2 linked regions of the Saccharomyces cerevisiae S288C genome follow. The protein of the gene in region 2 interacts with the protein of the main gene of each other region in a biochemical or structural test. Each region holds a gene or a part of one and is shown on either strand. Other genes may lie near its edges.

What was found.
Region 1: the proteins of UBP10 (region 2) and WWM1 interact in a test that uses a peptide from one of them, tested with the Saccharomyces cerevisiae proteins (one large-scale study listed by BioGRID).

Annotation. Positions count from the first base shown.
Region 1 is NC_001138.5:114,091-117,254, reverse strand, and holds WWM1 (Wwm1p), read left to right. Parts: upstream 1-1,511; coding exon 1,512-2,147; downstream 2,148-3,164. Other genes in the region: SCF ubiquitin ligase complex subunit CDC4, read right to left, coding at 1-1,110; AUA1 (Aua1p), read right to left, coding at 1,981-2,265. UniProt on the Saccharomyces cerevisiae protein: Involved in apoptosis. May play a role in nuclear function controlling cellular proliferation coupled to mitochondrial biogenesis. Causes impaired growth when overexpressed.
Region 2 is NC_001146.8:287,743-294,257, reverse strand, and holds UBP10 (ubiquitin-specific protease UBP10), read right to left. Parts: upstream 4,761-6,515; coding exon 2,382-4,760; downstream 1-2,381. Other genes in the region: serine/threonine protein kinase NPR1, read left to right, coding at 1-1,121; YNL184C (uncharacterized protein), read left to right, coding at 1,375-1,701; mitochondrial 54S ribosomal protein uL11m MRPL19, read left to right, coding at 1,589-2,065; SWT21 (Swt21p), read right to left, coding at 5,191-6,264. UniProt on the Saccharomyces cerevisiae protein: Deubiquitinating enzyme involved in telomere and HM loci silencing, which is the repression of chromatin structure which leads to a stop in the transcription of nearby genes.

The DNA of each region.
Region 1 (3,164 bases), on a different chromosome or scaffold from region 2:
AAACTTGGGATTGTACCAATTTTTTAAAATGAATATATTCTCCAGAAAAGATAATCTAAGGCGATCTTGTTGTGAGAGTTTTGGGTATTTTTGGGAGAGTTTGAGATTGAGAGAATTAAAACCCTTTGGGCTCACAAAATTTTCCGATATCAGAAGTTTTTTCCACAACGATGTAGATTTTCTAATTATTTTGTTCCAATTTTGGGAGACCCCAAGGGAATTTATAATATCCTCGAATTGCAAATAATTGAAAATTTTCAAACTTATTTCAAAAGGCAAAGACGTTATTAGGTCCCTCTTTAAATTATCCTTGATTAAAGTCCCCAAGTCGGATAGTTCACTCCTATCCATGTTGGCAACTAATCTAAATAATAAATTTTTGAAGTATGCGTGAGGGAGATTATTGTTTATTGCGCTGAAAATCTCATCAGAAAGGTATTCAGGGGAGATTATAGAATCTTTGGATTCTATCAAATCGGCGATATTATTATTGTTGTTGATAGTTTTCGTAGTTTTAGCTAAAGGAGTTGTGGTACCTGGAGAGGAAGCAGTGGGTGATAACGGCAGCGCTCCTTCCTCCATAGGATTGTTAATAGTAGCACTATTAACATTGTTACTAACATCACTGCCAGTTATTGTTGCCGCATTGACGGTAGTGGGAGCAGCAACATTATGAGATGCCACTCCCATGTTTACACTCAATGTAGAAGGTGCGGCAGAACCATCATCCACAGACATCAAAAGTTTTTCTGCATCGTTGGATATATCTGTTAAATTGTGCAGACCGTCATTATCCACAGACGCTGCACCGGTGTTCTGTAAGTTAACTGGATGGAGGGTTTTGTGATTATCATGTTTTACCCTTTTGAAATCACTGCGTTCAGGAGTGGATTCGCCAGAACCAGCTGCTCTTTTCCTCTGATACTCATCGATATCTTCTTCGCCGTCTTCTGTCTCAACTGTCTTAGCCGTGGACGAGTTTCGATGAGTGCCAGCGGCAGTAACAAGCGCAGTAACACTACCTGAGGAAGCTATACCGCCAGACACACGGTAGCTATAAGGAACAGGGATATCACGTAATGGAAACTCAGCTAAGGGAAACGACCCCATCGTACAGCGTAATTTTTGCCTTTCTTTGATTCTTTATGCGTAATTTTCTTCGAACCGCAACAAGTTGAATGAGGAGAAGAAGAAGAGAATACTGTAAATAAACGTTTTTTTCCCAAAAAAGACACTATATTTTAAGCACACAGAAAAAGACACGCTTTGTTGAGCAATCTATATTCATATAACAGTGGTAATAGCCTTTCTCTCACAAGATATACAAGCGCTGTGACGTTTTAACGTATTCAGTATTATTTCAACAGGCTTTTTTGTTTCGTCCACCTGACCGAGCCGGCAGCTGGAAGAAAAAGTTTACTTTAGTCATGATAATCAAAAGACTCTTTCTGAATTGCTTTTATCACTCACTACAAGAGAGTCGATAAAAAAACCCAAAACATTTTAAAGTAATGGCTCAAAGTAAAAGTAATCCTCCTCAAGTGCCTTCTGGCTGGAAGGCTGTTTTTGATGATGAATACCAGACTTGGTATTATGTAGATTTATCTACGAACAGCTCTCAGTGGGAACCACCAAGGGGAACAACATGGCCAAGACCCAAAGGTCCTCCACCAGGTGTTAACAATGAGAAGAGTTCTCGTCAACAGGCAGACCAGGCTCCTCCACCTTATTCTTCTCAATCAACACCGCAAGTGCAAGCAGGGGCCCAAGCACAGCAACCTCGTTACTATCAGCCTCAACAGCCTCAGTACCCTCAATACCCTCAACAGCAGCGTTACTATCCTCAACAAGCCCCTATGCCAGCAGCAGCACCACAGCAAGCATACTATGGAACTGCGCCAAGCACCAGTAAAGGTAGTGGACACGGCGGTGCCATGATGGGTGGTTTACTTGGTGTTGGTGCGGGTTTGTTAGGTGGAGCTATGCTAGAACACGCATTTGACGACCACAACTATGACGGACCAGACACTGTCGTTGTCGAGAACAATTACTACGGTGATGATGCTGGTGGGTCCGACGGCGGATTTGATGATGCTGGTGGGTTCGACGGCGGATTTGATGATGGATTTGACGGTAGTGACTTTTAATGTTATCAAGACTTTTTGGACAAGGACGATAAAATGATATAAGCTCATCAAATCTATATTGCTTGCTGCCATCTAAATATGGATACATACAGATATATACTTGCAAAGATCGGTCCATTATACTACATAGAAAGCAATTAAAAGATAAAAAAACCCATCATGATATTCTACGCTTTTTTACTTAGCCATGTTGTTGAATGTAGCTTCAATTACTTCTGTCTGTCTAATTTATTGCTACTTTTTCACTTCTAAGTGAACCATCACAACACATATAGCATAGTCGAGAAAAAAATCAATAGCTATTACTAGATGATAGATACCGTATATGCCACCTACAGCTTACTAGAGAGCTTCCGGAATGATAGTATCATTTATCAAACTACCGGTATGGTTGTGTATTGACTGCGCCTCTCAATCTATGAAGCAGCACCACGCCTTATCGTGGCTATGCGCGATATGACCGAGCTTTACAACATACTTTTCAATAAGCCGTTCTTTGAATAATGGACCCTTTCCTATAACCTAGTGCGCGTTTAAGGTGTTTTGTTCCAATAATAGAAGCACCTATCCACATACTTCACATACAGATACACTAACTAATACCACCGATGAAGCGGAAACAATGATAAATGCAAAGCCTTGGAACATCGACAGGACTACCCGAAAATAATATGTGTGTTTACTAACAACGCAGTAATAAAGCTTTCATAACGGTAAAAAGAGGTAAGATCCTGTATAAACTGGTCTCTAGTTACTTATATCTCAAAACATTATATATGTCGATGGTACAAGTTTGACCTTACATTGCCTGATTTTTTCAGAAAGATAGCAGGTAGTTGTTATACTACAGTAATTTACTATAGCTAATCTTCATTTTAAAGTGCCCACTTCTTTTTTTTTTTGAAATTATTTCTGAGTAGTAGCTAGCTTATAAACTACTTATATGCATTTATTCACCGGCGTCGCAAATGTGTCCGTCTTATTTTTTTTAATTTTTTTTTCAATTTGTGACGCCAT
Region 2 (6,515 bases):
GAGATACTATTTATTCTCATAGTCACGGCGGTTCAGGAATTCCGTTCTCAAAAAGGTACATCAAAACCGGTGCCGATTTAGGCGCTGGAGCAGGAGGTTCTGTCAAATTAGCTCAAAGAATTTCAGATAACAAAATATTTGCAGTGAAGGAGTTTAGAACTAAATTTGAAAATGAATCCAAAAGAGATTATGTCAAGAAAATTACATCAGAATACTGTATTGGTACAACTTTGAATCATCCCAATATCATTGAAACAATTGAAATCGTGTATGAAAATGATAGAATTCTCCAAGTTATGGAATATTGTGAATACGATTTATTTGCTATTGTAATGAGTAATAAAATGTCCTATGAAGAGATTTGTTGTTGCTTCAAACAAATACTTACTGGTGTACAATATTTGCATAGTATCGGCTTAGCTCATAGAGATCTAAAGCTAGATAATTGTGTTATAAACGAAAAAGGTATTGTAAAATTAATCGATTTTGGTGCTGCTGTGGTATTTTCATATCCATTCTCAAAAAATCTTGTGGAAGCAAGTGGAATTGTTGGAAGTGATCCATATTTAGCACCTGAAGTCTGTATATTTGCGAAGTATGACCCACGTCCCGTAGATATTTGGTCTTCTGCAATCATTTTTGCATGTATGATACTGAAGAAATTTCCATGGAAAATTCCGAAATTAAGGGACAATTCATTCAAACTATTTTGTTCCGGACGTGATTGCGACTCCTTAAGTAGCTTGGTTACAAGAACTCCTGATCCACCTTCCTACGATGAATCGCACTCAACAGAAAAGAAAAAACCCGAAAGCTCTTCCAATAATGTATCAGATCCTAATAATGTTAATATCGGGCCACAAAGATTGTTGCACTCATTACCAGAAGAGACTCAGCATATTGTTGGACGTATGATTGATTTGGCGCCCGCATGCAGAGGAAATATCGAAGAAATCATGGAAGATCCTTGGATCCGTAGCATTGATATGTGCCACTTGGTTGAAGATGGATTATCGTTCAAAGTGGTTAGAGGAGAAGACCATCATCACACACAAGTGGATCAAAGTGAAGCACATATTGCAGGCCTAGAAAAGAAAAAGAAAAAGCAAAATAATCAATAAATAAGCGTCCCCACTTTTATTTCTTTTCCAAGCATTTGTATATAACCTTTTTTTATCCTATTTGAGTATATGTTAAAATACAATGTCATATTTACTTCTGTTAAACTAATTTCATATTTTACCGTTCTATAGAAGCCTAAATAGATTGACCTCCTGTTCATAATCTACTATTTTATCAGAAAAATGTAAAAGCTTAGTATGATAATAATTAATGGAAAAGTTCGTTAAAATATCGCGCCACTAATTAATAATAATGAAGCGGGTAACATTAATTGTCTTACCAAGGCGACAATTCCCTTTTCTAAAATTTCACAGCAAAGAAGCTTTAGAAAGTGCAGTAAATCTACAACTCATAAGAAGGAAAAAAAGCGTGAACATTCAAATCGACAGCGTAACCTTCTGTATTTATTTCTGTTTGTTGTACTTTCGAACTCTCGAATACCATAGAGGAACTATTAGTCTCCATAATGTCACAGGCAGCAAAAAACGTGATAGTAAAGCTAATAGTAGGAGCAGGCCAAGCGGCACCATCACCTCCCGTGGGGCCCGCATTGGGCTCCAAGGGTATAAAAGCCATTGACTTTTGTAAGGAATTTAATGCAAGATCAGCAAACTATCAGCCAGGTGTACCGGTTCCAGTATTAATCACAATAAAACCTGATAGAACATTTACGTTTGAAATGAAATCTCCACCAACCGGATATTTGCTGCTAAAAGCTCTTAAAATGGACAAGGGACATGGACAACCGAATGTGGGGACAATGTTAGGCAGTGCACCTGCCAAGGGACCAACCCGTGCTTTAGGAGAGTTATCGCTGAAGCACGTTTACGAAATAGCCAAGATAAAAAAGAGTGATGAAAGGCATAGTTTATTGGAGATGGAAGGTATTGTTAAATCAATAGTTGGCGTTGCAAAAAGTATGGGTATTAAGGTTGTACCTTGATCTGTAAGTAGTGAAAAGACAAAAAAGTACCGTCAATTTCGAGAAATTTTCAACAGACCTTCCTTCTTCTTTCTACTGATCTATTCTGTAAATATGTATATAAGTTTTAAATTCTCTTTCTCCCGTTATGTTAGCAAAGCTCGGTAGTACTGAAGCTATTCTGAGTAAACGCTTCTCCAACTCTGTATACTGAGAGTTGTTTTATAAGTCAATAAAGACCGGATATTTATATGTATATATTGATTTGGTATAATAAAAATGAAATGCTAATAAAAATGCCTATGAAAAGAGGAAAATCCAGGAATATCGAGTTTTTTCATTTGGTGAACTTCCTTTTTTTATTTTTTTTCCATTTTTTTCTGTTATTTTTCTTGCTATTAATCTTCAATGGGCGGTTATTTGGTTCGTTAACAGCCTGTTCCTGTTTGGATTTAGAGGTAACATTACCAGTGGCCATGGCAGATTTCGCCAATGGCAATGGAACCGATTTTGGAGTTAGCCTCGTGTATAGGAGATAATATGCGTTGGGTTCCTTTAAAACGTCCCTTTCAGATATTATATTAATATACTCGTCGTCGTAAGTGGCCCAGCTACCGTCTGGTTGCTTGCAGTGGGCAATGTAGTGACCTGAAGAAAGGGAGCGGCCCTCATGAACCACCACGCTTAATAGTTGGTATTTGACAGGTAGCTCTTTACTCTCACAATATTCCGTCAAATCTAAAAACATAGGATAAGAAACAGCTTGCTTCATTTTTGATGAGGACGTGCCATTGAATCTGAATTTTTTCAGATGCACAAGTAAAGTTTCAGGAGCCCTTAATATTGAACTATGCTTCACGGCGTTCGTGGTCTTGTGACACTTCTCACAAACGTAACCCTTTTGCTCCTTGTCAACCTTGATTAATTCGGGATTGAAGAAATCTTTAATTGATTTTTCAATAGAAAATCTGCGGTTGGCTGAACTTAAATCACTGGCAGCGGCAAATGGTGAGCCATTGTTTAAATTGACAGATGAAGAGGATGAAAGAGATGGTTTTGTGGCAGCATTGGAGGTAGTGGTAGAAGTGGTGGCTGAAGTGCCGTTAATGCTATCACTCGACAGGTCAGAATTTGGATCAAGTTTTTTCTTCCCTTTCAAGTGCAACGATAAATCGTAAAATGGTTGTTCTGTTTTAGATATACTGCCACAAGATTTGCAAGTAACGATCTGCTTTAAAAGACCACCGAATATGTCATATATTATCGATTCTATAAGTTTATGACCCTTGGGAACAGAATCTTCCTGTAATCTTGACATCAGAGACATGAAGTACTCATGTGAATCTTCCTGCTGCCATTCGCTCATCATACAATTAATGTCATCCAATCTGGAAATCAAATGTTTTGGATTAATGTAGGAAGCTGAAACGTTCTTTCTAGGGTTTTTTGAGACCGGTAACCACATTTTTTTACTTGTTTCAGCTAAAGTATAGGAAACGGAATTTTTTGAGATGGTGCTATCGTATTTCCCCATTAGTATATCAAAAAGATAATGTTGTATCGAAGGAATGTGTAACATAGCCTGTACAGCAGCATTTGTGTAACAAGTAACACCATGATTCAAAAGGCCACGAGGCTTCAAATTGGTGAATTTGTCGCCCCAATTTTTAACAATTCTAGTAGAGTTTAAAGAACCACGATCATTGATATTTTCATTGAATTGGTAAAAGTTTGATAGATTTGATATTGTAACCGGAGGGGTGATTGACCTAGATTTATGTTTCAGCTCTTCTTCCTCTTCTTCCTCCTCCTCTCCCTTTGGATTCCTGTTTCCATTTTCTTTGGTGTTGTTTACTGGTTCGTACCGATTTACTTCCACTGTACTATTTTCCATTAAATCTTGATATAAACTCTTTTTTTCGCCTTCAGAAATTTTGGAGCTGGAATCGTTCTCCTCTTCTTCAGGGAGCTCTTTTTCCATAGCACTAGAATCATAATCCATGTCATCCTCATCCTCGTCGTCTTCTATTTCGTCATCACTGCTAATGCTTGTAGACAGTTCCTTTCTTTTTTCCTTTTCATTCTCATTAGATGAATCATCAATGGTTGCTAATGGAGAACCCAAGTTTTCACCAATGTCTTCACCAATGTCTTCACCGATGTCTTCACCGATGTCTTCACCGATGTCTTCGCCGATGTCTTCACCATCGCCCTTATCTGCGTTGTCGCGTTCCTTCAAACTAGCTTTTCGGGGTTCTACATAGTCTCTTGCCTCATGAAATATTTCACCCTCTTCCTCTTCCTCTTTTCCTACTTTGTCATCTTCCGAAGAAGAGGAAGGAGGCTCCGTAGAAAGCTCCGTAGAAAGCTCCGCTGACTTCTTGGCACCAGTAGCATCTGCAGCATCTTTATCATTTTTAGAAGTATACAACAATAAAGCTTCAGCCATAGATTTAGGAACAGTGTTGGTTTTCTTTCCGTTTGGCCTGTCTATCAAGTTATTTTCTTTTATTTGCTTGGATTCGGCCGTTGCAGCAATAGCTGTGCTATTACTATTGTTATTATGCTGTTTTCCTATCACAATATACGAGCTATTTTCCGGCGCGGCGGAAGTATCATTATTATTCGATTTGTTAGAGATCATTGCAGCATTGAACTGCAGGGGATTTGATAGGATTCTATCTACCAAAGGTTTGATCGATTCTTGAGTGGTCATAGTCTGTGATTGTGATATGACAATAGGACGGATTTACAGATACTATGAGTTGTAGATTCTTTCCGTTAGTTTTTCTATGAAATATTATGTGCAGTACAGAACAAAAGAGGCTTCAGACACTATGCATGCTCCTGTGTGCAGTATATGATGCTTAATAGCTTCTATGAAACAAATAAAGGACAGAAGCGGGGATGGAAGACTCTGTTAATGCTTTACAGGGAAGTTTTTCCCGATGGTGGCACTATATAAAAATAAGAACTTTTTTCTTTTCTTTTGGGGATTTTTTTCGATGCGAAAAAAATTTTTTGACGGCATGAGGCAAGAAGTGAACAAAAGAGGTGGTGTCTGGGGGATGCAATTTAACTTCTTACTTGTGCGCGTTCATCGGAGAAAGCTGGCCGGGTGATACACGAATACGGGTTTGCCGTTTTTAGCCGCCGAACCTGCATAATGAAATTGTGCCCCCATGAGATAGGGCGAACAGTTCGGGATCCCCAGGACAATTCTTCACTACCGTGGCAGGAATAGTAGAATCAAGGTTAGTGCGCCACTCTGACTCTGGCGGGATAGACGTGATTAGTGGGTCTTCAACACTATTGTGTGAGGGAACACCTCCAAATTCCACAAGGTCTCGACCCCAGTTCAATATTGTTCCCTGCGGCGTCCCCATACTTAGTCCGTAAGCCGTATCTATATATGCCTTCAACTTTGCAGAGTTGTGGTGGATCCGAAACGGTAGGCGCAATACGTTAAGCTCGTGCTGCAGGTTTCGCCGATCGTAAATACTAATCGCGTCACTGTTGCGTCTGACAACGTACACGTAACGCCCGTTATCGCTTGTAAGGATTTGTACAATCCCACCTGCAACTGTGCGGGTGTAGTTCAGTCTCTCTAGTCGTTGATGACGGCAGTCTACCTGAAACATTTCATTCGCATAACTGCCACACAATAGAGATCCTCTTGAGAGAGCTTGCCCTCCCATTGGTTGCTCTTCAAAGCAAGATATAATGCTTTGTCTTCCCTTGCTTGCTTTTTTGGTACTCTGGTTCATCCACACGGCATCTCGTCTGCTCTTGTCGTATATCGCCACTTTGTTACGGCATGAGCCAGTGTATACACGAGACTCAACATCGATTTTCACACTGTATACAGTTTCGTATTCTCCATTTATTTTGTTCATCGTGTCATAGCTGAGGATACACTGCCCGTCCATCAAAGAGTATAGTTGTAGAGGGAAGTTTTTTCCTCCAACCACGATTCTGTCACCAGCTAACCTGTCGGAATTCTCGTTATAAAGCGTGTAAAACGGGTCTATTGCACATGAAACAATAGACTGGTTTCTAAAAAACCTTGTAAATGGTAGAAGGAGGTTTCTGTTTAGCTTGTCCGTATTACTTTCCTCCGGCACTAAATATTGTCTGATGCCAAAATCATTATGCACAGAAACAAACGATGTACCATCACATGACCAAAAGATATCTTGACATATTACCTTCTTTTCCATTCTGAAGTCGTCTGTCATATTGATATATGGTGATTCTCCTAGTCGTGGATACTCGTATCCACTTCGATCACTTTGAGTCCTTTTTAACCATTCCTTATCTTCTCTTTTCCATACATTCGCTATCGTGTCAGCCTCGAACACTTCGCCAGTGTCGCAATACGGAATTGCATTCATTCTTTCATCATTTTTTCTATTCAAGGACTCATAATGCCCTTGTACCATCTATGTTTATGGAATATGCGGTCTGTCCA